Coturnix japonica: one gene and its partners. The protein of the gene in region 5 interacts with the protein of the main gene of each other region in a pairwise test. Links are inferred from orthologs where the notes say so. Each region holds a gene or a part of one and is shown on either strand. Other genes may lie near its edges. The genes, in order: TSSK3, NCDN, EDC3, COPE, EFHC2, CLIC3 and SPG21.

The links.
Region 1: the proteins of EFHC2 (region 5) and TSSK3 interact in binary tests that used the Homo sapiens proteins (3 or more experiments, as listed by UniProt). The two-hybrid records come from large-scale screens. The link is inferred for Coturnix japonica from reciprocal best matches to the Homo sapiens genes EFHC2 and TSSK3.
Region 2: the proteins of EFHC2 (region 5) and NCDN interact in binary tests that used the Homo sapiens proteins (3 or more experiments, as listed by UniProt). The two-hybrid records come from large-scale screens. The link is inferred for Coturnix japonica from reciprocal best matches to the Homo sapiens genes EFHC2 and NCDN.
Region 3: the proteins of EFHC2 (region 5) and EDC3 interact in binary tests that used the Homo sapiens proteins (3 or more experiments, as listed by UniProt). The link is inferred for Coturnix japonica from reciprocal best matches to the Homo sapiens genes EFHC2 and EDC3.
Region 4: the proteins of EFHC2 (region 5) and COPE interact in binary tests that used the Homo sapiens proteins (3 or more experiments, as listed by UniProt). The two-hybrid records come from large-scale screens. The link is inferred for Coturnix japonica from reciprocal best matches to the Homo sapiens genes EFHC2 and COPE.
Region 6: the proteins of EFHC2 (region 5) and CLIC3 interact in binary tests that used the Homo sapiens proteins (3 or more experiments, as listed by UniProt). The two-hybrid records come from large-scale screens. The link is inferred for Coturnix japonica from reciprocal best matches to the Homo sapiens genes EFHC2 and CLIC3.
Region 7: the proteins of EFHC2 (region 5) and SPG21 interact in binary tests that used the Homo sapiens proteins (3 or more experiments, as listed by UniProt). The two-hybrid records come from large-scale screens. The link is inferred for Coturnix japonica from reciprocal best matches to the Homo sapiens genes EFHC2 and SPG21.

Annotation. Positions count from the first base shown.
Region 1 is NC_029538.1:4,558,687-4,562,599, reverse strand, and holds TSSK3 (testis-specific serine/threonine-protein kinase 3), read right to left. Parts: upstream 2,318-3,913; 5' UTR 2,305-2,317; coding exon of another isoform or gene 2,269-2,304; 5' UTR 2,268-2,268; coding exon of another isoform or gene 2,218-2,267; 5' UTR 2,102-2,217; coding exon of another isoform or gene 2,010-2,101; coding exon 1,865-2,009; intron 1,509-1,864; coding exon 847-1,508; 3' UTR 773-846; downstream 1-772. UniProt on the Homo sapiens protein: Serine/threonine protein kinase required for spermatid development and male fertility.
Region 2 is NC_029538.1:3,821,304-3,825,983, reverse strand, and holds the start of NCDN (neurochondrin), read left to right. Parts: upstream 1-1,550; 5' UTR 1,551-1,573; coding exon 1,574-1,669; intron 1,670-1,750; coding exon 1,751-2,737; intron 2,738-3,081; coding exon 3,082-3,311; intron 3,312-3,817; coding exon 3,818-4,033; intron 4,034-4,232; coding exon 4,233-4,375; intron 4,376-4,564; coding exon 4,565-4,680. Other genes in the region: KIAA0319L (dyslexia-associated protein KIAA0319-like protein homolog), read right to left, coding at 350-491. UniProt on the Homo sapiens protein: Probably involved in signal transduction in the nervous system, via increasing cell surface localization of GRM5/mGluR5 and positively regulating its signaling. Required for the spatial learning process.
Region 3 is NC_029525.1:1,775,781-1,779,660, reverse strand, and holds part of EDC3 (enhancer of mRNA-decapping protein 3), read right to left. Parts: intron 3,328-3,880; coding exon 3,014-3,327; intron 1-3,013. UniProt on the Homo sapiens protein: Binds single-stranded RNA. Involved in the process of mRNA degradation and in the positive regulation of mRNA decapping. May play a role in spermiogenesis and oogenesis.
Region 4 is NC_029543.1:2,774,208-2,778,570, reverse strand, and holds the start of COPE (coatomer subunit epsilon), read right to left. Parts: upstream 2,982-4,363; 5' UTR 2,942-2,981; coding exon 2,816-2,941; intron 2,713-2,815; coding exon 2,650-2,712; intron 1,836-2,649; coding exon 1,735-1,835; intron 1,570-1,734; coding exon 1,417-1,569; intron 978-1,416; coding exon 924-977; intron 632-923; coding exon 550-631; intron 1-549. Other genes in the region: probable ATP-dependent RNA helicase DDX49, read left to right, coding at 3,138-3,252, 3,344-3,467, 3,536-3,621, 4,269-4,363. UniProt on the Homo sapiens protein: The coatomer is a cytosolic protein complex that binds to dilysine motifs and reversibly associates with Golgi non-clathrin-coated vesicles, which further mediate biosynthetic protein transport from the ER, via the Golgi up to the trans Golgi network.
Region 5 is NC_029516.1:100,084,532-100,088,411, reverse strand, and holds part of EFHC2 (EF-hand domain-containing family member C2), read right to left. Parts: intron 1,686-3,880; coding exon 1,497-1,685; intron 1-1,496. UniProt on the Homo sapiens protein: Microtubule inner protein (MIP) part of the dynein-decorated doublet microtubules (DMTs) in cilia axoneme, which is required for motile cilia beating.
Region 6 is NC_029532.1:97,833-102,375, forward strand, and holds CLIC3 (chloride intracellular channel protein 3), read right to left. Parts: upstream 2,900-4,543; 5' UTR 2,885-2,899; coding exon 2,777-2,884; intron 2,614-2,776; coding exon 2,504-2,613; intron 2,193-2,503; coding exon 2,067-2,192; intron 1,947-2,066; coding exon 1,840-1,946; intron 1,675-1,839; coding exon 1,499-1,674; intron 1,161-1,498; coding exon 999-1,160; 3' UTR 317-998; downstream 1-316. UniProt on the Homo sapiens protein: In the soluble state, catalyzes glutaredoxin-like thiol disulfide exchange reactions with reduced glutathione as electron donor.
Region 7 is NC_029525.1:16,060,085-16,063,053, reverse strand, and holds the end of SPG21 (maspardin), read left to right. Parts: intron 1-167; coding exon 168-276; intron 277-760; coding exon 761-868; intron 869-1,263; coding exon 1,264-1,404; intron 1,405-1,704; coding exon 1,705-1,827; 3' UTR 1,828-2,337; downstream 2,338-2,969. UniProt on the Homo sapiens protein: May play a role as a negative regulatory factor in CD4-dependent T-cell activation.

The DNA of each region.
Region 1 (3,913 bases), on a different chromosome or scaffold from region 5:
GCTTGCAATGCTCCCTTTGGACCCACCGCCCCTTTCTGGGGCAGTTCACTCTTAGTGTCATGAATTGCAGGTTGCCCTAATGGGGCTGTTTGGCCTTTGGGGGGGTGGTTTTATATGTGCTACCTTTGCTCTTCTGCCCCTTCCTTGGCTGCTTCATCTGAGCTGTGGGTTTTGTTTCTGGATTGCGTTAGTGTAGGTGCTCTTGGAAAACTTGATATTCTCCCCCCCCATTTGGGGACATTCAGATGTGGGGCTGCAGCTGCGGCTGCTCAGCACTGCGCTCCCTGGGCTCAGGGTGACCCAGGCTGGATGTGGAGCTCTGGGCCGCGCTGCTCTCATGTCTCCTGTTTTTCTTTAGTCCCACTGACCGTCTGGTTGTCTGTGCAATATTCTCTGTTTATTCCGGAGCCTTTTGTAGCTGGGGTGGAAAACCAGGAACAATTCTAACATCTGTAGTTTTGTAACTTTCTCCAAACCTTTTACAGACTTGCAGTTAACAGCAATTAAAGGAATTCCGCACTCACCACTGTGTCCTCCTTCCTTTTCCCCTGCCCTGGGCTGGGGGCAGCTGCCTCAAGGGGATCAACTGCTTTATGTTTCTGCTTTCCTCCCCCTCATCCCAAGGGAAGTTTGCCTACAGGGGGTGGGAACATGGGGCTGCTTGGTCTGTTCTGTTCCCTGCTGAAGGCCGGGGGTTGGGAGGGGGCAGGTAAAAATGGCCTAAAGTGAAGCAGCCCTCAGCTCTGCCTTGGCAGCACACGTGAGGCCGAACACGTGGGAAACACATCCAAATTTATTGGCATCCTCGAAGCAATCTGTCCCCGGGGGGGAGCAGCCGAGCGCTCCTCAGGGTCCGGCCAACCAGGGGTGTCTGCTGAGCCGCTCCACCGACGGCCGCAGCACCATGTCTGGCTCCAGGAGCCTCTTCAGGAGGTCCTGGCACGGCCTGGAGACCTCCAGGTGCCTGGGCAGGGAGACGCCTTTCTGCTGCTGGCACAGCATCTGCGGGATGTTGGTGTCGTCGAAGGGCAGGTGGGCGCACAGCAGGACGTAGAGGATGACGCCCAGGCTCCAGATGTCGCCCTTGCAGCTGTCGTGGGGCACCCCCTGCAGCACCTCGGGGGCCGCGTAGGCCACGCTGCCGCAGAAGGTTCTGCTCAGCTCTCGGCTGCCCACGGGGAGCTGCTTGGCGAAGCTGAAGTCCGTCAGCTTCACGGTGTGTCCCTGCAGCAGCGCGTTCTCGCATTTGAGGTCGCGATGAGCCACCCCGCAGCCGTGGCAGTAGCGCAGCGCCTCCACCAGCTGGCAGAACAGCTCCCTGGCGCAGGGCTCGGGCAGGGGACCCCTGTGTGCCACGTAGTCGAAGATGTCCCCGTTCTCGGCCAGCTCCATCACGAGGCAGATATTCCCCTCCGCCGACTCCAGCACCTCGTACACGTGGATGATGTTCTTGTGGTCCAGGCGCTCGATGATTTGGAGCTCCCGGGGCAGGAACTTCTGAATGAACTCTGCCAAGAGGGGGAAAATTCACTCAGTTCCTGAGCTGCTGAGCCCCGGCATCGCACCGGGCTGCGGCCACAAAGTGGGAAGGAAGAAGGGTTGTGCCAGGGTGCCTGGCTCCAAGCAGGGCCCTTGTCGGAGGGGTCTGAGCTGTGCTGCTTTTGGCCACCTTATGGCTGGAGGAGCCGGATGGACACCCCATGGCCTGGCTGCTCCGAGCTGCCCCCAGCACCTCCCTGCCCCCAGCACCTCCCTGCCCTTCCTGCTCTTGGGTGGAAAGTTTGGGAAACTCATTTTCTGCCTGGAACTAAAAGCTTCCAAGGAGGGGTCGGTACCTGGGAGCTCTTCAGGGGCAACTTCTTACCTTCTGGACTCGCCCTTTTATCAATGATTTTAATTGCTACTTTCTTCTGGTGCTTTTGGGAAAAGGCCTCCTTCACCTTGGAGTACGTTCCCTCCCCAATGGTTTGGCCGAGCTGGTATCCGCTGGCGAGCAAAAACTCCTCCATGTCCTCTCACAAATCGGGGCCGTTCAATCTCAGTTTTACCCCCAGCAACTCGACAACAGCATCGCAGCAGCCAGGGGCTCCCCGTGCTCCCTGTTGGCACGTGTAGAGCCACCAGGCCCTGCTCCTGCCCTGGTGGGAAGGGGCATCGAGGCGCCTGTTGTAGCATGGGCGTGTTATTGTGATGCAGCCGATGCTGCATGAATCCCAGATGACGGAGGTGCATCAAAGTGGGCGACAGCTCGGCCAGGCAGGGGGGAATTGGGCTGTGCTGGGCAGGACCTGCTCGGTGGGCACCGTGAGTACAGGGGGGTCACAGGGTCCATTCTGTTCCTCTCCCGTTTTCATCGGGGTGTGGCGGGGGGGCTTTAGGAGCTGCTGCTCACACAACACTTTGCTGCTGCAGGGAGGGGACCCCAGGCTGCGCCCATGAGCTCAGAGCTGTGCTCACACCGACCCACCGCGGCCTCACGTCTGAGCTGAGTGTGTCCAGCTGCTCCGGCGCCTGCAGCCCAACCAGGCCGGGCTCCTTCACAGCAGGAAGGTGCCGGTGCCGGGATCGCAGCCAGGCCCCGCTGCAGCTCCCAGCTGCTTCTCCCTGTGCAGAGAAAACCGGGCCGGGCCATGAGCTCCCAGGAAGCGCCGCGGGCCCGGAGGTTCCCCATCGAGGCGGGCGACTGTTGTAGTGCGGCCGCAGCTTTGGAGACACAGCAACGGGTGGGCACAGCGTGGACTGCGGGCAGGTGAGGGTCCAAAGGGGCTCCTGTGATGCTGCAGGTTGTGCTGTACTGTGCTGTACTGTACTGTGCTGTACTGTGCTGTGCTGTACTGTGCTGTACTGTACTGTACTATGCCGTACTGTGCCGTGCTGTGCCGTCCCTCTGACCCCTGTCTCCCCGCAGGCAGTTGCGGCGCTGTCCCGCCAACCACCGCCTGACGCTGCCGCACATCCCCATCAACGTGTTCATCGCCATGGGAGGGAACTGCCGGCCCCGCAGCACCTGAGCGGCCCGTGATGTTTATGCACTTTGTAAAGAAAGGCCCATCCTAACGCGATCCCCGCCTGCTGCTCCTTGTGTGTCCGGCCGTGCGGCCCAACGCGTCCCGTGGGCTCCCGGGGCCGCCGCTCCCGGCTCAGCTCGGCCCGGGACGGAGCTCGGGGCTGGGGGGTGCAATGGGGGGGGTCGTGTCGGCGCGTGGGCACGTGGCGGGACACGAGGATCCACGCGGGACCCGCGGCCGCGAGTTGAAGCCCGGCCCCGCCCCGTGACCCCGTTCGGGGCGTTGCTCTCCGCTCTCGTCCCGCCGCGGTCCCTCTCGGCCGCCGTCCGCCGCTCCCCGCCCTCCCGCTGCCGCCGCCATATTGTGGCCGCCGCCGGAACGTCCGTGTCGGGATCCGCGATGGGTGAGAGCGGCGGGACCGGGCGGGGCGGGATCGGTACGGTACGAGACGGCGGGGCTGCGGCCGTGTCCGCACTTGGCGCTGCCGGGCGCTCGGTTGGCGGCACTGACTCAGCCCGGGGCCGGCAGCCCCAGCGCGGCCGTTGGGCTCCGGGGCGGCGGCGGCCGGAGCTGCGGGAACCGCGTGTCGGTTGTGTCCGTGTGTCTGTCGGTGTCTATCCGTGTGTGTCCGTGTGTGTCCGTGTGTGTCCGTGTGTGTCTGTGTCTGTCCGTGTCCGTCGCTCTTTGGGCCGTCCCGCGGTTCCGCTCGGTGCCGTTGGCCGCTGTCGGTTCGGGTTCCGGAACCGGCTGCGTCCCGTGGGGCGGAGTTCGGCGGCGGTTCCGCTCCGTGTCCGTCCGGTCCGGTCTCCGTTCGTTGCCCCGCGGTGCCGCCGTTCCCCCGGACCGAACCCGAACCCGAACCTCACCCCGCGCTCTCGCAGCGGTTCCGGTGCCGTTCGGTCCGT
Region 2 (4,680 bases), on a different chromosome or scaffold from region 5:
TCATGGTTTTAACCTATTACATGCAAGCTTCCATGTAAGAAACCCATTTAGTGTATTTACTTGAGCAAGAGGCTGGTTACTCAAGTTTGAACAGGAAATATAAGAGCAAACATAAATTACCCATAGGCAAATAGACTATTGACACACACTGTCTGCGGAGACTTTACAAACACAGGATGCTTCAAAACACTCTTACCTTCCCAACCTCCTCCAATAAATGCTCAAATGAAATTACTAAGCAGAGTCTCGTTAGTTCCTTTTTGGAACAAGGGGCAAATCCTCATCTCAGATAAAGCAGACAAAGATACAATACACAATACAGACAAGGTTCCACGCAGAACACAATCACCTGTTGAGGAGCACAAGGCACACAGGCAGGTGCACAGGTAAAGCAGCTTCAGGCTTCTCAGTTCCCTTGCAGGTCTTCCCCAGAAATATTGTAGTAGAAATGGAGCATTAATGCTGAGCTTGGCTTCCAACCTCTTCTCCATGGCCTTTGTGGGGAGCAACGGGGGTTCTGGAAACATAGAAGATATCCTATGGACATTGGTGTGCTCCTGCAAGGGCTCACACAGCATGATGAACAGCACAGGGTGTTTGTAGAGGAAAAGGAACAGCTAATCTTATCAGCTGAGCACAGCAGATAAGCAACCATCCATGTCACAGTGCTAAAGAGACCTTTAGCAGCACAATTCCCAACTACCGAACTACAGCACAACTTGTGATTCCCCACCTTGATTCTATCGCTTTCAGCAGCAAAACACCAAACAGCACCACATCCAAAGCTGCATTTGGGCCTTTTTTGGCTCAAATAGGGTGATGGATCTTCAATTAGCTCCTCCAACACAACACACACATTGACAAACACACATTGCAGTGATGTCAGTGCTCACAGCGGAGCTGCTTGGTGCCAGTCACTAACAGAGCCAGAACACAGCAATGCTGAGCTGTATGAAGATAAGGGCACGTTCTGCTCTATGGGCACAAAGCAGAAAGCACTGGGTGTAAATGTGGAGCCTCAGATGTCCCTGAGACCCCACAACCAGCTCTAAGCTGCGATACATTACCTTCATCAGGGATAAATAGTGCCTGTTTGCAGGGGTAGCAGAGCGTTATTAGGCACAAGCTGTAAGCAGCAGCATCACAAAACTGACTATAGGAACGACACCTAAAGCTCGTTATTAGCAATATCCAAACGGAACCCACCCCACCGAACCCGAACCCCGCACCACGTACCAGGCCCGCATGGTGTCCACTCCTCACGCCGGGCGGCCGAGCCTCCAACGGGCCGAACCGGGGGTCAGCACAGCCCCCAACCCCGCATCCATAGCGGCTCAGCCCGGAAACACAACGACCCCTTCCGGATCCGGAACGGACCCACCGGGAGAACCGAGCCCGGTACCGTCAGCTCCGGGCTGAGCTGCTCCGCTACCGGCTGGAGCTCGGGGAGGGGCAGCTCCGGAATCACGTAATAAAGAAGCGACCCATTGGTTAAAGGGGCGGATCGCGTGTGTATGGCGGCTGGTTCCGTTCGTTGTCCTTAATATATCGGTGTGGAGCCGAGCGGGTCGTTATGGCCGAGATACACGGAGCTGCGACGTTAAAGAAGTGCATGGAGGTGCTAAGGGATGCTAGGAACGACAGCGAGCAGCTGGCAGCACTGCTGATGGTAAGGACGCATTACCAGGACCCATAGGGAACACCTAAAGCCATATTGAGCCTTGTTGTTATTCATTGCTTTCCCTTCCAGGTGACTAAAGCGGTTAAAGCTGGAGATCTGGACTCTAAGACCCGACGTCAGATCTTCGATGCCATCGGCTTCACGTTCCCCAACCGGCTGCTGAGCTCCAGTCAAACCCCACCAGGCTGCCCTGAATACATGTTTAAAGCGCTGGGTCTCACCCTGCTGGGTTGTTTCTGTACCGAACCGGAGCTGGCTGGACACACACAGATCCTGAACAAAATCCCGACCTTCAATAGCGTCCTGCTTGCTCCCTTTAATCCAGACTGCACGTCTATGATAGATGATGCGTATCAGTGTCTGACTGCTGTTCTGGCCACTCCCAGGGGTCCCAGGGAGATGGTGAGCAAAGGAGCGGTGTCTGCTCTGTGCCAGGCTTATATCAATGGTGGTTATGGCTCTGAGCGTGCCCTGGAGCTGCTCTTGGGGCTGCTGGCTGTATCAGAGGTGAAGTGCTGGCAGAGGGATGCCCCGCACCTCCTGGCTGTGCTGGGGAAGCTCTGTGAGCAGTTTGTCAAGGCTGAAGATGCCACCAAGTTTGAGCTGTGTCAGCTGTTGCCTCGCTTCATCCCCCTCTCACCACCACTTGCTGAGGTCTCACAAGGCTCCGAGTGCATCCAGCAGCTTTACAAAGGGCTGGCTGATATTCTGGGCAGTAAACTCAGCCAGTCACAGAGGGATCCTGCTCTGAAGCTTGCTGCCAGCATCGTGCAGGCCTGTGGGGCAGAGTGGATCCCAGCAGGGAGAACTGGCAGCAAGTTCCTGGCCTTGCTGGTGAACTTGGCTTGTGTGGAGATCCGCCTAACCCTAGAGGAGCCCAATCCCATGGAGGTGGAGGGGAAAAAAGAAGTGATAACGGCCTGCTACGTCCTTATCGAGATGGGGATCCAGGAGTGTCTGAAAGGAGAGGAATCGCTGCTAGATGAAGCACAGAGAATGCAGCTCATGAGGATCATGGAGGAAGCATTTGGAGCCGTAGTGTTTTACTTGAGACAGGTAAGGAACTTTCAAGCAAGGAAATGATGGCTTTTCACTGTGGGGAGGCTTTTAAACAGCTCCTACAGTGCATAAACTGGGTCTTGCTGGCCTCTTACCCACATGTGGTTAAGAACAGCAGGATGCACCCAGGCTGATAGATCACAAGACAGAAAATTAATAACTCAGTGATTACTGTGATTTTTATATTCCATCCTTTTCCTACATCAGAATAAGAAAATCAGCCACGGAAGTCCAGACTTGCTCTAGCAGCTCGTGTCCATAAGCTGAATAGACCAAAATGTGCATTTTGGCCCACTGTGGTTTTCATCTTTTTTCTATCAGCTGCTTTCTTCTGTACCCAGGTGAAAGAGGAGGAGCTACAGGATCCTTTCATATTCGCTTCTGTTCGGATCCTTGGAGCCTGGATGGCAGAAGAGACATCCTCCCTCAAGCAGGAGATCTGTGAGCTCTTACCTTTCCTTGTTCATTATACCAAGAAGCTTTTCAAAGAGGGTGGCCCAGCAGAGAATCTTCCCCAGGCAGCTGGGCTGGTCGGCAGTGACAGCTCCATCTTAACCCAGGATGCTCTGAGGTGTGTATTTTAAGTACAGAGCTGATGCATTTCAACACAAAATGACACTTTTTCCTGCATCCTGCATTTAGGTCAAGTTCTTGTTGATCCTTTGCTGTGAAAGAGGCAACTGGAACTGCCACAGTGCAATGCAGCTGTCCAAGCCTTCTGTGTGTGACTAATGTAAGATGGCAGCTGCACACAGAGACTGAGAGGCAGGGAAAGACTTGTGGAAGTTGTGTGTCTAGGCTTTAGCTACAGCAAGCAGGGAAAATAATAGAGTCTTTGTAGAAGCAGATCAGCCTACGTGGGCTCTACTGTAAGATTTCAGTACATTTCCCTCAGGCATAAGGAAGTCACCACTGTGTTACTGATTGAGCTGATTTTGAGAGTAATTTCTCCTTCCCTTTCTCTCTGCAGTACCAATTCTATGGCACTTTCCCCCCCCCCGGCTGATGTAAATCCAGGGTTTAGACCCCAACTCACTGTTCTCTACCTTTTGTTTTCATTTTTTTCCCACCTTACAGATTTCTACTACCTGGATTTTGCCATTTAACAGCAGAGGACAGACCCAGAGACATCCTCATCTCAGAAGGGGCACCAGCACTACTGTGTGACTACTTCCTGCATCACTGGGAGGTGCTGACCTCTCAGCCTGGGTCCCTGACGAGCACTGAGATGAGTCTGCAGACTTTATGTGGGATCTTCCTTAACCTGGTTGTGACTGCACCAGACCTCATCAGGTAACGGAGCCACAGAAGCTTGTCTTATGAAGGACAGGGATGCAATGAGAGATGAGCTTCCAGGATCCTTTAAGACACTTGTACTGAAAAAATGATGCCCCTTTTCTTAGTGCCAATCTCATCACATTCTTTAATGCTGCATTTATCACATGTGTCTGGCTCTGCTCAGGAGGTTTCTCAGGGTTTCCTTTCTTTCTAGGCAGGAAAAAGCCTTCTCTTCTTTGATGGACACATTGCTGAAGTCTCTTCCCTTCCTTCTACCTCAGAAGGATCATTTGGTTCTAGCAGCCAACATTGCCACTCTGGGCTTGATGATGGCAAGGATCCTTTCAAGTTCAGCAGGTAAGAAGCACTGGTAAGCAGCATGGCAAAGCTGCACATTGCTCTGCATGGACTGAGGACCCCAGAATATAAGAAGAACAGACCCAGTTTCATGTAGGGCTTTTGTCATTGGAAGTGTAACAAAAATCCCAGAGGGTCCCTCCTTTGGCCAAGTAATGCATCAACTCATTCGTTTCCTTTTTCTTTCAGTTCTTCAGAAGACTGGGCCTGCAAAGGAATTTTTCAGAGCCACCATTCGCTTCTTGTCTCAGGCTCACACAGCCCAAGCAGACCCTGGTAGCCATGGCTTAGCTCTGGCCATATCC
Region 3 (3,880 bases), on a different chromosome or scaffold from region 5:
TACACTCACTGCCAGGTTTTTCTCCAAACTACTCTCTCCTCTACCCTCAGATGACCCAAAAAGCAAACTGTGGGGATGGGCAGCCCAGCCATGCAGCAGATCCAGGGGACAGAGGCAGCTGATGTGAGCAGCGTGTAAATGCTGACTGAATGAAAAACTGCATTAGAAAAACTGCAAGAACAATGGTTGGAAAGCTCCTCGGGCTCCCCTGCAGACACCGTGAATGGGAGCCAAGACCATACCTCATCAAAACGAGACGTGCCAGCATTGTGCTGGGCAGCTCTCTAATCCACACCGATGGATGCCAGCCCTGAAATACTGCTGACCCCACAACAGGCTGTCTTATTATAGACTGCATAACCACCCACTAACAGGGGCTGCAAGAGGCTTCCTACCGCTCCAAGCAAAGTTAAGTGGTGTTCCTCTTACTCTCTAGATGGGCAAGCTGGCACCATCGAAGGAAAAGGGCTGAAAAATTGCACAAGGGGAGGAAAGGGAAAGCTCAGGCTAACAGGAGAAGTACCAACTGCCTTCCATGTTGCTGGTGTGACATTATCCCCGGCCCTTTCCTGAAAGCTGCTATTCACAGCCCTGCTTGCTTCCACAGCCTGATCCCCATCCTCTGCCAATCAACCACAGCAACTCAAGAGCTTTCAGCTCAGCTCTTTTCAGAGCCACTCTCAGAGCCTCTGCTCTGCGTGCATATGTGCACAGAATATTAACAAGAACAGCACATCTCCACATCAAGTTAGCAGCTTGACAATGCAAAGAAAAACACCTCCCTCTAAAGACAAACAATACTTCCCAGGCTTCTGGTTTGTTTCTTAGAAGAAAAATCTTTTATGTATAGCACACAAGCAAAATGTAAAGCCTCTATTGAGTTGGCTGCCTTCCTGGCAGACCCCTGCAGCTCTCAGCAGCAGCCCTGGCATGCACAGCCCCGCTCCAGCACAGCACATACCCTGTTGTGCAACATGTAATCTGTGCTGCTGCTCAGTGCTTATCAACTGCTGTCACACATGGACTCCAAAGGCAGAACTTTGTCCCTGACTTGGCACACTAAGGGGCAGCAAAAGGTCAACTTGGAGCCATACTAAGCATGGGCACAGTACAACTTAGTGCTAGATGACATCTCAGCCCATCCTTGCCTTGATTCCTGTAGCCACGACTACCTCCATCACACTGTGGAGAGACTCATACATTATTTAGCCTGCTCTCCAAATAACATTCCAGAGGGTAAGAGTTCAATTTTTCTCCCTCATTGAGCTGAAAATGAAGCCAAGCAAATAAGAACCTACTCCTAGCACCTTGCTCAACCTGTTTTAAAAAGAGTCTGTAAAAGAAAATTGGACCCACTGTTGTGCTTATGTCAAACTGAAGCAAGCTGTTGGTGGGTTGAAGTAGTTTGAAGCCCTCACTGCACACCCCAGACCCACTAGATTGCTGTTATGTGAGGTGATCTGGCCACAGGCACTGCCCAGCAAGACTAAATAAAGCAGGAGTTACTGCAAACAACTGAGGGTAGAAGGGAAACAGAAAGGCCTGAAGGTGGCTAAGTTCACCAAGGAGAACATGCCCTCCCCCTCACATCATCTTCAGACAACATACAGCCTTTGATCTCCTTGTTTAATTGGTCCTGTGAGTTTGTTTCTTTTCCATGCATAAAAACAAGGGGGGAAAAAAATCAAGTCGTATATCCTGATGCTGTAATAATTGCATGATGAAGATGTGGATATATATAGCTGAGAGGGCTTCATGGAAGAAAATAAATAAATAAAAGGTGAAAACCAAAGAACATACCCAGTTTTGGCACAGCATTAGAGCTGGCTGAGGAGTTTTTTAAACAGGAATTAGAATAGGGACGTCTGGCTTTGGTGTAAGGATTGAATCAGTGCATCTCATTCTCATTAGATGATGTTGTGTTTTTAACAATGCAGCAAAAAGCACTTGTAATTACTCATAGGGCAATGCTGTAATAGGTTTCAGTTAAAGCATGTATAACCATAAGAGTTTCACAATATCATAATTTGGTTCTGGTTCCTTTTAGAGGAAAAAATGAGGCTGTCTTTTGGGCTGTTTTCACTAAGGAAAGATAACAGGAGTTGGGAAATCATTCTAACCAACATCATCCAGTCCTATCTTTTGCAGCATTTGATGCTGATGAAGCAGAACACACAGGCTGTTCTTCACACTGAACAAGGATGGGCAGCGTTAAACAACAGTAAAACATGGCAGAACTGTAGTGCAACTGATCTTTCCATTCAGCTCACACCCCACAATACAACTTGCCCTTTCTGTTTTGCATTAACAAGTAGAGCAGAACTTCCCACAAGCTGTTGGATATTTTCTCTGCCCCTCCTCCTGACCACCAGCCCACAGGGCTGGAGAGTGTAATGAGTAGCACCTGTGTTCTTCAGCACCTGTTGTTCCTCTGCACTGTGTCCACATGTCTTTTTCCCTGTTGTCCCCCCCCAAACATCTGTTCACTCCTATTCTCATCTCAACCCAACCTCTAACCTCACACCAGCAGAAAGAAAAGGGGGAAGAAGAGCTCATACTAGCTTTTATGGGCCAGTAACAACACCATGAGCACCTCACAATCCTCCCAACCTGCAGCACACAAAAGCTGCCTCGGGCTCCCACTCAGAATGCCCTGCAGAAGCCAAGGAATCCATCATGCTCTTGATCTGTAGCTGATCATGTGCTATAACAGACAGATTTGGCTGCATGAACATTCTCATTAAGTTCTGCATGAGATCACACCACCACTATGAAGGAATTTAAGACAAGTGCAAGACCCCTGGAAGATCCATACTTGCAATACTTTGAAGCACGTGTTCCGAACTCTCTCCTCACTGTTTACCTTTCTCTTTCCCAGACCTTTTTGGTGGCAACACAAGTGTAAAAGCAAGTAAAGAAAACTCTGGTTTGAAATATTCTTGCTGAACAAGGGCATATATTGCAGTGGTAACCCAGGCAGGAAGGAAAGTTACAGGTGAACAAACAGACTCACAAGAATTATGCCTTCGACGAAAGCCTTTAGATTGATTCAGCGTTTCCATGTGCCGATCCATATAGCTCTTGGAGCACTGCTGCTGTGGGGAGATGATAATATCCTGATTCTTCATGTCTGTCCTCCTGGGGATGTTCTGTGGGGCACTGCTGGAGTAGGGCTTCTTAAACATCTTCCCAGTGCCATTCTGGCTGGGCCCTACTTGGCAACCAACCCCAGGGATGCCTGTGTCTGCCTGCTGCAAGTCCCCACATTGTCTGCTGTCCCCTGGCCCTGGGATCTCCAGAATCTTCAGCTCAGTAATGTCACCTGCCCTAAAAACAAGAAAAGAAAACCAGTCGTTCAGATATTTAACATTCCAGTTACTTCTACAAACAAAAAAACAACCAACACTGTACACGGGATTGGTTAGAGGTTTCTTTAGGTGCAATTAACAGTGGAAACAAGAAAAAGAAGGACTTAAATAATCTGGCGCATGCATTCCAGATACCAAAACATTCAGCTGAAATCACATGTATTAATAAAAACCTCAGTATTTCTGTGCCGCACCTGGATTGTGTTCAGGAGGTTTTGTTCTCAGCTTAAAAAGGAATCAATCAAGCAAAAATAATAAAAAAATAAAAGGCAATCAGCACAACCTTCCCCAAAATCTGTATTTATTTAAGTGTTCCTAGATAACAATTATCCTCAGCCTGGAAGCTATTTTTAATGCATATCTACATAAAGCTATCATTAAATTAGTGCAATTCACACTTGGACATAGCTGGCACTTGCTGCTTCATGAGGAGGATGATATAACTAATGTAGCAGTGAGCCAAAACATAACAAAGAAGTGGTTACAAAGACCTCCATCTGGACCGACTGCAA
Region 4 (4,363 bases), on a different chromosome or scaffold from region 5:
ATTAAATATTAAGAAGCACTTAAATGATCAAAAGATCAAGAAACATTTCAAAAGAACCACTTCAGAACACCGACTTAATGTTTGGAAGAACATTACAACGTAATAAAAGACTATGAAATGAGATCTTACAATTAAACCCAGGTACAGACACCTGGCTTTTCAAAACATTCCTGCTTTAGAAAGGTTTCAGATGCAGCAGCTTGCACTGATTAGAGGATGAATGTTTCCCTAGAGGAAAATAAGATCTTAAGGAAAACTCAGCCCCAGGTTACTGTTACTGTTGTAACAGGTTACTGCACGCATACCTTGGAGTTTACTGAATCTTAGGAGACTGGTTTCAAACACCTGACATCTGGACTTAACAGACAACACGTGTTTTTGGCTGATCTGAAACTCTTCATTACAATACAATTTCTTGCCAACCAGTTGCAGGCACCAAAAGAACAAGTTTAATGAGATGGTGGTAACTTGGTAAAAGGCCATCACAAACTAAGCACAGAGTCTTGTCTGAATGCTGTTTCTCAGATATCGTAGGCCAGGGATACTCACTACAGCCAGGTTCACCCAGGCAGTAGCCAGCTGAGTGAGGGTCGCATCTTCATCTTGCTCCTGCATCTTCTTCAGTTCCTTGCTGTGGATGCAAAAGTGGGAGTTGTGTAAAAGGAAAACAAGGCCTGTCTTAGTCCTCTAAGATGCAGACAGAAGGTTGAAGTTTCCTTTCTCAAGCTCTTTCACCTCAACAGAAAAACAACCATAGCAAACTAGTAAGGAGGCATAATTACCTCCTAATGTTTCACTGAGACAAGCTGTGGAAGAGCTCCTTGTTTTACTTCTGTAAGGAAAGGAAGAAATCCAGGCCTAGAGATTCAAACCCCTTTATGCTCACTATTCAGAAATAAAGTGACACAGACAAGCTTACTCACCGAGCCAGATCAAGCCTGTCAAGCTTCAGAAGAATCTGGATCATCATCGCCGTGCTGCAATGAATAAAAGCAAATCAATTGTAATAATGACGAGTTTTATCACTCCTTGTGCTTAGCACAGATACACTACTCATGCCAGGGCTATCTATACAGGCAGCCAACAAAGCCAGCAGAGCTCACAGCAGGACTCAAAGCAGGGAAGCTCCCAGCTGCCCTCCTGGTGTACAGCCATAGTACTCACTTCAGCAATTCTGAATCCACACAGATCAATAAATCAGATTCTTAAGTTTCACAAGGGAGCAATAGATTTTATACTGCAGACTGAGCACCACATCCATCACTACTTGAAAGGGAAACCTCTCAAGAGTTTCTCAATGGTTTCAAGGCTTTTCAGAGACAAGCCAGATCCTGGGCATTTCTATTACACCTCTCCCTACATGAGCGAGACTTTGCTAACACACACCGCAGAGAGGCCAGATCGAGTTATACTTACCATTCCAAACTTTCCCCTTGATGTAGAGTACGTAGAGCTGCATCAGGATTTTTGTCATGGAAATAGATTGAAGCAGCCATCAGCAAGAAAGTGGTATTGGTCACATCGACACTTTTTGCCATTTTTTTGTCCAAATCAGCAACAATTGCATCCCTGCAACAGTGTGGGTGAGGGAATAGAAGTGTTTAAAATGCCTCGCTATCAGAAAACCTACTTTTTTGTGGCAAAACCAAAGCCAGACATTATAAAAACCATATTTCTATGAACTCTTCACTTAGAAACTCGTTCTTTGTGAAACAAACTCATTTTCAGACTTACCTTTGACTCTCATTTGAAAGATATTCTGCAAACATCCGCACAGCCTGGAGCTCAGGACTGGCATTGGCTTTAATTTCATCCAGCACAACCCCATACTTTCTCTGTTAAAGGTAAAGCAGAAAACCTAGTGACTTGCAGAATCAAACTCTATAATCCAGAGATGGGTTATAAAGCAGGGACGTTTATTCCAGCACTGGGTGCAAGGGGGATAGCTCCACCAAACTTGCACCCCGACTTGTAAAATCATGACACAGATATAGGTACATCTAATACATAGTCAATGATTTCTCAGAATTCTAATACATAGTCAATAGTTCAGAATTCTGATCTATATTCAATAGTTCTTTAGCACACAGACTCCCTCTTGTTCTTATCAGGGGGATGCAACTCCTCTTCTGGTATTTACATTACCTGTTCTCCTCCTTGCCTGATGTCGTCCATGAGGTCTCACTCCTTACCTGCATCCTCCCTGCTCTCCCAGGCCCCTTGTTTCCTTTACTTGTTACCTTTAAGTTTCCTTTATTTCTATAAACTACCTTTAAGTTTCCTTTACTTCTTTCTATAAGCCACCTTTAAGTTTCCTTTTCTTACTTCTACAAACCACCTTTAAGTCCCCTTTATTCATTTCTACAAACCACCTTTAAGTTTCCTTTCCTTGTTTCTATAAACCACCTTTAAGTTTCCTTTCCTTGTTTCCATAAACTCTTTAAGTTTCCTTTGCTTCTTTCTACAAACTACCTTTAACTACCACCTTTTAACCTCCCTTTATTCTTAATTCCAGCACCTGTTTCCTGCTTCTCTAGTATTTATTACTCAGTTGTGTTTATTACTCGGTTGTGTCGCATTGAGCTCAGGTTCATACCCTGCCCTACCTGAGCCCTACAGTCACATCGTGCTGCTGTAAATCCGACCCACCTGTGCAATGTAGGACCTGAACAAGAACACATCCCTCTCTGTTTCCTTCTCGGGGTTCGATGGCTGGAAGGAGAAGAAGAAACAACAGCTCCATTAAGGAACCTGGGCACTAAACCCAGGAACCTCCTAAACCCAACATGGGTTTAACCCCGTTCGATACCCCCACCTTGATCCGCTGTGCCTCGTTGATGGCGGCCTGGTAGGCCCCGATGTAGAAGCTGTTCTTCACGTCGAACAGCTCGTCCCCCTCCCCGCTCTGACCAGCTGGACCCGACCCCGGCCCGGCCGCCATTTTGCCGCTCCGGACACGTCTCTCCGGAAGTAGCTGAACCCCGAGGGCTGCCGGGAGCCGCCATGTCCATGAAGATGTCAGCTCCAGCCAATAGCCACGCGAGAAACATGTTACGTCACTACGGCGACGGAAGCGGGAGGCAGCCAATGAGAACGCGAAGGAGGCCGGAAGTCAGTGGTGTTAAGGAAGGAGCAAGATGGCGGCGTTCCGGGAGCTGGGTTTGGCCCCGTGGCTGGTGGAGCAGGCGCGGCAGATGGGGCTGAGCCGCCCGACGGCCGTGCAGGCCGCCTGTATCCCGCCCATACTGCAGGGTGAGCCTGGTCTCTTGTTCTCCCTTCCTTGCAGTTCTCTATTATCCGCCATCGCTCACGTTCTTTACTTTGGGGGGGGTCTCCCGTGTAGGCCGCGACTGCCTCGGCTGCGCTAAGACGGGTAGCGGGAAGACAGCGGCCTTCGTGCTGCCGGTGCTGCAGGTGTTGTCCGAGGATCCCTACGGCATCTTCTGCCTCGTTCTGACGCCCACCAGGTACGGAGGAACCCATAGGGGGGGTCCCCTGATGGTGTATCCCCGCTTAGCGCTGCCCTACCCCGCAGGGAGCTGGCCTACCAGATCGCTGAGCAGTTCCGTGTGCTGGGGAAACCGCTGGGATTGAAGGATTGCGTGGTGGTGGGCGGCCTGGGTGAGTGAGACAACACAGAGTGGGATGTGTCCGGTTCTGGGCTCCTCAGTACAACAAAAGAAAGGGATCTCTGGGAAAGAGTCCAGCAGAGGGATACAAAGATGGTGAAGGAGCATCTCCCCTGTGAGGAGAGACTTAGGGAACTGGGTCTGTTTAGCCTTGAGAAAAGAAGGCTGAGAGGGGACTTGATCCAGGTTTATAAATACCTGAGGTGTGGGAGCCATAGTGGTGAGGCTGGTCTCTTTTCAGTAGTGTGTGGGGACAGGACTAGGGTTAATGGGATGAAAGTACAGCATAGGAAGTTGTGCATGAATGTGCGGAAGAACTTCTTTACAGTGAGGGTGACGGAGCACTGGAACAGGCTGCACGGGGAGGTGGTGGAGTCTCCTTCTCTGGAGATAGACCTGCCTGGATGCCTTCCTGTGTGATATGGTGTAGGGAACCTGCTTTGGCAGGGGGGTTGGACTCGATGATCTCTAGAGGTCCCTTCCAACCCCTACAATTCTGTGATTCTGTGGCTGGGGGGGGAGCAGAATGACTCTTCATGTCTCCATGACCTTCCTCTGTAAGGCTGGTGTTTTCCAGCCACGCACATTCCATGTTTACGAGGTTCAATCTGTAACACAGCAGCGTGTTTCTCGCTGCAGACATGGTGGTTCAAGCCCTGGAGCTCTCCCGCAAACCCCACGTTGTCATTGCGACGCCTGGCAGGTTGGCGGATCATCTTCGCAGTTCCAACACT
Region 5 (3,880 bases):
TACTTAATATTTAGTATTACGCCTGCCCTGTAGAGCTAGAAAGAAAAATGGGTAAGAAAGCAGAGTACATCTAAAAACATAAACACCTGTTCATTTCTCATGAAGTCCACTAAGCTGCATCACAAACTGCAGCACTGTCAGGCATAGTGCCATTTCAGGCTCTTACCTGGAGGTTAAATTAATTGGGTAGTACTCTTTAACTGTCTATAATTAAAATAAAAGACATGAGCCCTCCAGAGTCTAATTTTAAACCCATAAACTCCTGTCCTGCATTGATTGCCCTGTGTGGGAATACAAAGACAGTAGCCAGCTAACTCATTTTACCAGCAGTTCCCCTCACTTTCTACTTAACTCATTTATTTCATAATCTTGGGTCCAAATCCTGGAAACGTGTATGTCCCCAAGAAATCAATGCACACTTTCATATCAAAAAAGGGGTGCAGACAGAGCATGTGCAGGGCTGGCCCTAACACTTAGGCACATTATACCACTTCACATTTGAGCACATTGGTGAAAAGCAGGCAAGCAATACGAGGGACTTCAGATATAATGTATATCTGTCTATTCAAGCTTTACATTTTCTTGCAGTAGTTCTGGTCTGCCAAGGAGACAAATAGATAATTATGATGAAATTATCTGCATGACTTTTACTTTAAAACAAAAATTATGCCATTCTTCTCAGTATTTAAATATCCTAATAATTTTGTCATGCAACATTTCTGCAATTTGCTGAATGATTTCTTTTCCCGGATCATTTTCCTTCTCTGATTATAGGCTTATTGCTTTAGAAATAAACCATCGCCAAGTAGCATTTATAGTAAATTTTAAAAGGGAAGGTAATGACAGCATGCTACAAAATACATATCATCCTAGATAACAGTTATTTGATAACTCTCTAGCTTTAGAGGTGCCATTACACTCCTATGAAACAAATAAATATATGTATTAATTTTAAATCCCAGCATCTATAACAGATACTGTCTATTTCCCCACACATGAACAAAGTCAACAGGACTTTGAGCAAGCAAACAAGACTAGATAGGGGAATTCTAATCCTCAGAACTGCACTGTGGTTAGTGGTCATGCAGATTTTCTCCTGGAATGAGGCTTCCCTTACATTCCTTTAACTACACATTTCCTTGTTTGATCATTTGAAAAACAAAGAAATGGAGAAGTACATTCATTCTGAATATGCTGCAAATCAGTTATTTGCTATCACTATTTTAAATGGGTATATATTAACTACCCCCTTATTTGTATTATGCCCTGTAGGAGACATATCCCAATACAGAAATATTTGTGTACGTTGCTGTATAACTTACATCTACCTCAATTATACAATATACAAATATTAAGGAAAAAAAACAGAAGTTTCCACCCTTTTTGTTTACACAAGAACATTTCTCCATGCAAAAACTAATCTGACTGTCTGAATTTCACCTCTGTATTATGGTATCTGTTCATAAAAAAACGCACAGATCCTGATTTCTACATACCTTTTTGTCAAATGCTATCCAGGCAGGAACACCACATCCCAGATCTGCAGGAAACACGCTGGATTTAGGTTTCAGCTTCTGTCCAGGTAGTGGTTCACCTCCTATTCCAGGTTTATCTTCCCCAACCAGCATAGCAACATTATTGCAGTAGCCCCAGAGCTGCGATTTGTGGAACTTCTCTTTCCCTAACTATCAAAGGAAAGAGAGAAAAAGACATTTTAATGTGTGGTTTTAACTTCATAAGAGTTATCTAGCTAGGCAAGGGGGATAAATCACATAGAAGTTTTTCTATAAGTACTTTTCATACTATCTGTAAACCTGTAACAACTTGAGCACGGCATGTGAAGTGACGTTATTTCAGCAGTCAATTTTGTGTCTTACGGATCAAAATGGAAAGGCATTTTGTTAACATAGCCAGGCTGAGAAATAGGATGATACCAGCTGTTGTCCCCCCTTTTCTTCCCTGCAATAAGGACTATGGAAGAAGGAAGCAAGTCACCCATGGGAACAATGCAAACGGTAGAGGGGGAAAAGCTTCCTCTATAGAACCCTAAAGGTCAGATGGAAACACTTCAAGAGTACCTAGAAAACAGTCTGCTGTCATAACCTATGTTGAAGACCTCATTTATATTTGCATTGCAGAGTGCAAAATACATACTCCTGAATACACTTCAGTTTTGGGAATCTGCAGCTGAATCAAAAGACAGAAAATTCATTCTATCTGGCCTTATTTCAAAAGACAACCTCTGAAGCAATTTAATATTATTATTATTATTTACATTATTACTGTTTTTCAGGCAATTACAGATGGAGTGCTTAAAGACAACCAACTGCAAAGAAAGCCATCCTGGCTTGATGCTCCAGTGAGCATCAGTTCTGCCTGTGGGAATGCTCCTTCCAGTGGGCAACCTGCACTACAGGCGTGCTCCCTCACGCAGAGGCAGCAGCTCCACACAGATCAGACTAAAAGGAAGAGCCAAAACAGGAGACGGCACCACAAACCCTTTCTTCCATGAGCAGCAATATTGATCCATTAGCTCCTCTTATTCTGCTCCCTTCCTCACTCCCTCAAATCCTTGAAAAGCTTTGGAGCGACTGAGTTGTGCCCCCAACCTTCAGCCTGGGGCTGGTGTACCATGAGGAAGGGGGAAGAACCGATGCTAGGAAAGCACAGAAAGGACCTGGCCAATGGAAAGGATAGACAGTATAATTCTCCGAGCATCACTGGAACAGATATGTCAGTAATGTAGCACTGCATTTGGAAAGTTTGGATATTAGGAATAATTCTCTCTCAGTCAGAGCAGTGATGCAGTGGCACAGGCTGCCCAGGGAGGTGGTGCAGTCACTGTCCCTGGAGGTGTTCCAGAGCCGTGTGGATGTGGCACTGAGGGATGTGGGCAGTGGGCATGGTGTGATGGGCTGCTGGTTGGACTGGGTGATCTTAGAGGTCTTTTCTAGTCTTAATGATTCCTTGAAGAGAAAACAACATTAATTAGAACACACACATTTAAATCAGTGCTTCCCAAAAAGTGTAGACGACACTGCATTACCATCATGAATAAAAATTGGCCAAGAGAAATGTTGTTCATCATAGCGATGTTCGAGTGCTCCAGAATAATATAATACACATTCAATATTCTGGGAAATGTGAAAGCAGTGGAGCAGCAAAACCTGAAAGGGGCTGACTAGTTATTTTACTCTGCCAATATGAAATGGAGTGAGGAATCTGAAAGGCAGCTAACCTTTGGCTCATAACATTCACTGCTCATATACACAAACTACTGCACACTGAAGGTGAAAACCTCAATGGCGCTGTAAGCCCAATGACACAGGAAGGAGAGCTGTCCTTGAATGAACAGCTCAATCCCTACCTTAGTTTAGATTTTGCTTATAATGCAAAGGCAGTGGTATGCAAAAAAAACCACATTACTTATTATTTTTACAACTGATTATTTTTAATGCCATAAAAATCAACAGCCGTACCCTGCTCAGGTTAACAAAGGCTGGGCTGAGCAGCATCCTTCAAAGCAGACACTGCAAGGTTTCCAATACGGGTGGTTTGCTCCCTCTTTTTTGGACACTAGCAAGCTGCTCTTTCTTGTTTTGTTCCCCTTTATTATCATTACTTTTGTTCCCTGGTAAACTGATAAAGAGCTGGAAAGAATGGGAGGGAGCTTTCTGTGTTTATTAGGTGTAATGTGGAATAACTAGAGTCGAGCTGAGTTCTACACAGGAAATTTGTGGGCAAAAACATCTGATTTCCACTGAAGGCTCCATACACCAGCAGATCCATTCTGACACAGCAAGTACTTCTTCTCTGCCTATTAACAAAGCATGAGTTAGGGAGAAAAGCACAGTTTTTAAAGCACGGTAAAAACCTCTGT
Region 6 (4,543 bases), on a different chromosome or scaffold from region 5:
GCCACTCCTGTACCCCACTTGCTATGAGTTGCTGGGGTTTTTTAAAGAGCGTTGAGAGATAATTTATAAAGGTTGTCTGTGCTTGTCTTATTGCCAGTAAAGATGGTACCCAGCCAGCATGATGGTGTGTGCATCGTTTCATTCTACACTTCCATTGCTCTGCAGCCAGTTTCAGCTCAATCTGGGAGCTCAAGGGCTCCAAGGAATGTACTGTCCCACCAGTTTTGTACCCGTGGATGGGTGGGTGACTGGTGAGAGCCTCTCCAAGTCATATGCAGGGGGCAGCTACAGTGGCTGGTCACTCCAGACACTCTTGTCTTGCTTGCAAAGCCTTTATTGATTTCCAAATGCTCTGATACATACATGGCTTGGATTTTTCCCACTTCATCCCCATCCCTGTCCCAAATCTGCTCTAGAGAGCTTCCTAGCAGCAAGTCCTGGTGGGACGTTGCCCTCTGCTCCCCTGGGTGGGGCAGTGGTGACAGGGCAGGGTGCTGCAGTGTCCCCCCCAGCTCCATTCCCAGGGCTTTACTGTGACTGTGCCAGTTCCCCTCGCCCTGTGATGCTGTTTATGGACACCCTGCAGTGCCTGCTGTCCTGGCCACAGACACACTTAGGGCAGCTTGTGTGGTGGGAGGCTGCAGGGATTCCCACTGCAGTGTGCTGCCCTCCAAGCAGCTTTTCTTCCCTAGCCCCTGCTGTTCCCCTCAGCATTGCCCAGTTCTGTTACAAGCAGTGCCCATGCCTGTACCCATCCTTAATGCTTGAGGGACTGCAGAGCGGGTCAGGGGTATCCCGGCCAGGCAGGGAGGGTGACATGAGAAGCAAGAAAGTGTTGGCAGGCTTGACGCAAGGTACCTTGGGTGCCAGCTGGGAAAATCTGGGTGCTGATGCTCTGCCCTCCCAAGCACGTGTGGGCAGGATGGCGATGGGAGCAGCAGGACCAGGTGGTGCTGAGCTGCTGCCTGGCCCTGTGCCCACCTGGGCATCTGCCCGGCTCACTGTGGGGACCGGACAACGGAGCGGTAGGCCTGCACAATCTCCTCACTGCTGGGACAGGTGTATTTGAACTCCTTGGTTTCAGCAGCATTATTAAGGTAGCGCCACACTGCATGCAGGTCCTTGGGGATGCCGAAGTGGCGGTAATGCTGGCAGACGATCTGTGGGCAGAAATAGCCCATTGCTGTGTGCCCATGGCGTGCTCAGGGGGCCCTGCAGCTGGGAGCTGGTGGTGCTCACTGGTAGGAGCCAGGGAGGATGGCATGGGGCAAGAGGACATCGCTGGCATAGCACAGGATAGAGGGGGGTGTGGGCTGGAGCTGTGGGGTGCCAGGCAGCCACCTGAGGGGTACAGCGAGCCAGGGGATGGAACAGGGGAAAGGGAAGTTGCTGCAGGCAGGTGGCAGGTGAGCACCCAGGAGGAGGTGAGAGCGTGGGGCAGGCAGCACCAAGGAGGCAAGGCAAGGAAAGGCAGCGTGTGGTGGGGACAGCCATGCACCTGCACGATGTTGAGCTTGGGCAGCAGGTTGCAGTCTGCCAGCGTCAGGTGGTCGCCATCGAGGAAGCGGCGCTGGGAGGTGCGGAGGTGGGGCTCACGGGCCAGCTCATGCTCCAGGGGTGTGCTCAGGTACTCATCCAGCTTCAGCAGGGCCTTCAGCAGGTTCCGCTGCAGCGCTGTGTAGGGCGGCAGCAGCGTGCAGTCAGGGCAGCAGGCAGCCCCCTGCCCTTGCTCTGCCTGCACTGTGCCTGCACCGTGCCTGCCTGGTCCAGGCTGGCGCTGCCTCTGCCCCCGCCCCCCACGGGGCGCGGCACGGCACAGCCTGCCCCTCAGCTCCTCACCCTCATCCTGAGCAGGTACCGGGTTCTTTATGTAGGTGGAGAACTTGTGGAAGATGTCGTTTCCAGCCAGCCTCGACTCCTTGTACCGCGGGACCAGGCTGGGGAACCTGCGGCGACATAAGCACAGCTGGGGAAGGAGACAGCAGGGCTGGGAGCTGCCCCTCCCGCCCCTTCCTCAGCTCCTCCACCCCTCCTTAGCCCCTCTCAGGGCAGCGCCGGCCACTGACGTGGGGGGGGCCAGCCTGGCCTCCAGGAAGTCCTCGATGGTGACTGTGTCGGTCTTGGAGTCTCCGTTGTAGAGCAGAACGGGCAGCTGAGCGCCGGGCGCAAAGTCCTTCAGCACATCCAGTGCCCTGCAGGAGAGAAGAAGCTGCTGATGCCCGCGTTGCTCGGGGATCTACAGCGCACCGGGACCCGGCGTGTCCTGGGCAAAAGGATGAGGTTCTCCGGGGGCTGTTCCTGCCCTGAGTTTGCCTATGGCGGCTCCTCCCAAGAAGTGACCGCCGCCCTTCCTTAGAGTAATGGTGGGCAGCCAGGGGGTACAGCAGGTGTCCTCGGCCCCTTTCCCACGTGGCGAGACCTCCCCGCACCCTCCGGGTGCCCACGGCAGGGCTGTCCCACCCCACGCCCCCAGACCGGCAGAGCGTCGCGGGGCACCGCTCACCTCTTGGTGTCCACGGTTGTGAGGGTGAAGGGAGCTCCTTTGAGCCGCAGCACCATGAAGAGGCGCTGGCAGAAGGGGCAGTTCCCAATGTTCTCTCCATCCTCGCTCGCCTGCGGGCAAAGTCAGAGCTCAACCGCCACGCTCCGGTGCAGCCCCCGCGGCGGCCGAGGCAGCGGTCGGACGCTGATGGCGATGCTGGCGGCCCCGGCATTCGCAGGCAGCGGCAGCCGCGACCCCTGGACCGGCCACCCCCGGCCCCGGTCGGGTCCTCACCTTGACGAAGAGCTGGATCTGGGGCTTCTCGTCCATGCTGGGCGGTGGCTGAGCGGTGACTGTGCAGTGAGTGCCCGTGCCGGAGCTGCGGCCCCTCCCAACCCACATTCCTCCCCGGGGTGCTCCCGCTCCCACCCACGCGTGGCCCCACGGCACAGAGGGGCCGCCCCGTCGCGGGGCCCCGCGACCGCAGCGGAGCGGCAAAGGGCGGCTCTGCCCGAGGTGTGTGTGTGTGTCAGGGGGTGCTGTGCCCCTCGGCGCTCCGTGCCCCCCCAACCCGCTATTCCCGCACCGGCTCCAGGCGATGTCCGCGCCGTGCCCCTACCCTGGGCACTGTGAGCCGCTCCTTACCCCCTGCCCAGCCACCCCCCCCCGGCCCGTTCCGCAGAATTGGAATTCCCACTACCCAGCCTCGCTGGCTCCAGTTATTTTTTATTTAAAACAATCATTATTTTCACATTTCATTTTCTTTTTTTCTTTATGCTAGCAATGTACAGGCTCCTCCGGAGCACCCTCACCCACCGGGGTGCCTCACGCTCGGTGCCGTGCATAGCACAGGAGCTGCTCCTGCGGCGGTGCGGGGGGAGGCGAGCTGGGAAGCGGGGCCAAACTCAGGAAAGCAAACAGTGTTAAGGCAGCGGGCACCCCGCCCTGGGCAATGAATGTGCCGCTCCAGCCCGGCTGCCGTGGGGCACCTTTCTGCACGGCCCTCCCGCACCTGGAGCAGGGAGGGCACGCGGCCCCCAGGCTCTGCTGGGTTCTCTGCGAGGGGCACAACGGCTTTGCCGAGCACCCAAGGGCGGCGGGACGGCACCGGGTGGGAGCGCAGGTGTCTCCTTGCACGAGTAGCCCCACAGGTGCAGCAACAGGGCGGCTGTGGGACGAGCACACGGCCCTGAATGAAGCAGGGCAGGGGGCCGTGCCCACCTTTTGGTGCCCGGAGGGGGCTGAGCTGTCCCCACTCCCAGGCCACACCTGGATACCTACAGGCGACACGGTCCCTCCTTTCCCTGGTGGCAAAGGGCAAACCCAAAGCGCTCGCTCTTGCCCCCTGCACCACCCAGGGACTGGCTAGTTTCCAGCATGCCATAAAAAATATATGGTCTGAAAAATCTGAAAATAGAGCTTATCTCCCCCCCCCAGTTTTTCCCCTATTGAAAATACTGTATATTGTATCACAGTCTCTAGTAGGTGGCACACTGGACTGGCGGTCTGTGGGCGCAGCAGAGGGCAAGGTGGCATTGCTTCCACCCCAGGTCCATCCTCGAGCAGGGGCAGCAGCAGCCCCATCCCACACCCCCGCAGCACTGCCCCCACCACAGTGAGCCCGGGGTGCTGGAGCTGCCCCGTTGCACGCTGGGCGGGAGGTGGGCACAGGCAGCACAGTATGGGCAGCAGGGCATGGCCACCTCGGAGGGGGTGGGAGCCCTGTGGTGCAGGGGGTTGGCCAGGTTAGCAGTCCAGGCTCAGCAGTCACCCCTGTGATGTGGCTGTGAGCCGCTGAAAAGCTGCAGTCTGGAGGTGTCGGGCACAGCCCCCCATGGGTGAGCAGGTGGCAGGACCATTTGCAGAAAGGAGGGCTGCCGCCGTCCTGAGAGTGCCTGCCCTAGCCCAAGGTGATGCTGTACATGGACGGGCACAGCACCACTGCCAGCTGCTGTCCTTCCCTGCTTAACAGCTTGGGTACTGCTGCCAGGATAACCAGTGCCCTGGTGCGCTGCCCTGCCCTTGCCCTTACCCCTCGAGGTTGTTTCCAGGCTCAGAAAC
Region 7 (2,969 bases), on a different chromosome or scaffold from region 5:
AGCTTTCCAGAGCATTTCAGTCACATATCTGCAAGTTTTTCCATCTCTGCTCTTGAAGCATCTTCACGATTTCATTTGAAATTCTTGCACAAAAGTCAGTGCAAGAAAAGGGAAGACTTAAAAGAAAGCATCTTAATTCTGATTGTTACGTCTTGTTTCTGTTTTAGCTTTTGGTTAATGCCTGCTTTTATGCTGAAAAAAATTGTCCTTGGCAATTTTGCATCTGGTCCTGTAGACCCTGAAATGGCCGATGGGATTGATTTCATGGTGGACAGGGTAAGTGGCTGTGTGCTCCAATGGCTGTAATGTCAATCTTTGTGAGATATTCACTTAGTAGATGGGAGGTTGTAGATATTTCTGCTGCTTTCTTCATTTACTTACCCAGAAGTGAACAGTGGATGGATTCTCAGCAGGTGTTGGCTGCAACAGCTCTTGCAATTTAACTGGTGCTGTGATTTGTCTACCTTATTGTTCCATTTATCTATGTATATTGGAAGAGAGGTGGCTAAGAAAGAGATGGAAATGGGAATAAGTGCTGAGATAGTAGGCTATGCTCTAGAGGCAGGAACAATTAATTAAACGTTCTAAGTATTTGTCTCATGCAGCGAAATATTAAGATGGAACTATGATCTTCATCTGAAGTGCAGTCATGTTTCCCTTTAAAACTAAAGAGCTGTCTTCTCTTTGGCTCTGCTGTTATTATTGCATTAACTTCCTGCAGTGAAATATGTTATTAATCACAATTTGTCTCTACTGAAAGCTGGAGAGTCTGGGCCAGAGTGAGCTTGCCTCGAGACTTACCCTCAATTGCCAGAACTCTTATGTGGAACCTCATAAAATCCGAGACATCCCCGTAACTATTATGGATGTAAGTTTATTTCAGCTTAATTTTTTAAATACTTTTTTTTTTCTCCCAAACATCATTTCCTCCTCTTGGAAAGCAGGGCCTGGATATTGTGTTCACAACTTAATAAATATTTGCACCATCTAATTTTGTATTTAAATAGTTTTTCTACTGACTGGATAAGACAGCGGCTCTTCTGTGTTGAATTAATGGCTGTTACTGCACAGAACACCCAAATGTTTATCTATCAGTGTTAGCTTTCTAGTCACTGATGCTTAACTTGTTTGCTTGTTTTCTGTTTCATTAAAACTGCTCCACAGACAAGCTGGCAACTGCTTCTAGAAACAGGGTCTGTCAACTTGATTTAATAAGCAAAATCTGACTAGACTTAGAATTAACTGTTGTCACTTGTTGCATAGGTGTTTGACCAGAGTGCGCTCTCAACCGAAGCGAAAGAAGAAATGTATAAACTTTATCCTAATGCCAGAAGAGCTCATCTCAAAACAGGAGGCAATTTCCCTTATCTCTGCAGGAGCGCTGAGGTCAATTTATACATTCAAGTGAGTGTCTGCATTCAAACCTAATCTACAAATGTGTTGCTGAAATAACAGGAAACTTTTTCTGAGCTTGCTTTTTTCTTTAACTGCCTGATGTTTTTACTCCCATATCACTGATAGAGAAGAACTGTGCTGCAGGTTTATCAAGGGTTGGTTTTGGAGGCTTGGTTGCTACCTGTTCCCTCAGTCCTTTGTCTGTACTCTTGTATTCCAGGCCAACAACTTCATCCTCACTGAAACATTACCCATAAGGAATGTGTCTTAATCTACACCGGTTTCACTGTTATTTTCTATATCCAACAGATTCATTTACTGCAGTTCCATGGTACCCGGTACGCAGCCATTGATCCCTCTATGGTCAGCGCAGAAGAACTGGAAGTCCAAAAGATCAGTCTTCATAGCAGCAGTGAACAGGAAGAGCAGTAGGTTTCTGACTGCCAGTGAAAACGAGGAATCAGTTTGGGCCTCCTGCGTACAATCACCTGTTCCTACTCTGCCTTTCTCCTTGTGTTAGCCGATTATCACTGTGTGATTCCAGCAGGATCAAGTCAGTGAGCTACTCGCGGACAATAAACACTCAACAATGTGACAGGGCATCCGTTTAATTTTTAGTCTTTGAATTCAAGAAAGTATCTTTGAAGACTACAGTTTTAAAAACAAAGACATTTTTGCTACCAAAGTCTTCACTATCACGTTCTTAAACAGAACAGTATTTCTTTTTATATTTTCATTCAGCTGTATATATTGCCACATGCAGGTTGTGTACTTACAGGTTGACATATATTTTTGTTGAATATTTGATTTAAAAGTTGTTTAAGTGCCAATGATGCCATCACTTCTTTGCTCCGTATGTTGTGTTGCAAGTTAGTTTCCATTTGAAATTTTTAACTTTCTTGCTAGCTGTTAAAAATGGTTTTCAATAAAACTCCAATTTCAGCAATTGCCTCTTCTACTGATTGCAAGAGAACAGCAGCGTTGCTTTCTGTAGTCTAGGTTTATCTCTACGGGTACCTTTTAGACGTTAAGAAAAGCCGAACCTTCTACTTGAATTTGCCTCTTATGCAGGTTTGTTTTGTTGTTGGATTTGTTTCTTTGTGGTTTTTTTTGTTTGTTTGTTTTTTAAGAAAAGGCTGACTAGGACAAAGTGTGCAAATTTAACAGTAACATTCTGATTCATTGCAATACAGCCATTTTTTCTACTTGAAACACTCTAAAAATACAAAAGCTGATGGGTCAAATCTGTGTTTATGAAAACTGTCCTTAGGAGAGACTGTGTAAAATAATCAATGCTAACATCTTGGAGTTAAAACAGTAAAATCCATGCAGCAATGCTGTGCATGAACATATCAGCCCTCAGGTCACCTTAACAACTTCACTCTTTGTCTCTTAGATCACAGATAACTCCATGTCCATCTAAGCTTTTCAAGTGACAACCCAGAGATTAAAGAAGTGACCCACCTGAATTATATGTGTTACACCGATCAATCTCGATGGTCTTCTCCTTAAAGACCACAGACCATGTAGTCACCTCAACTTTTCTGAACAAACTCCCATGCTAAGAGGGAAGT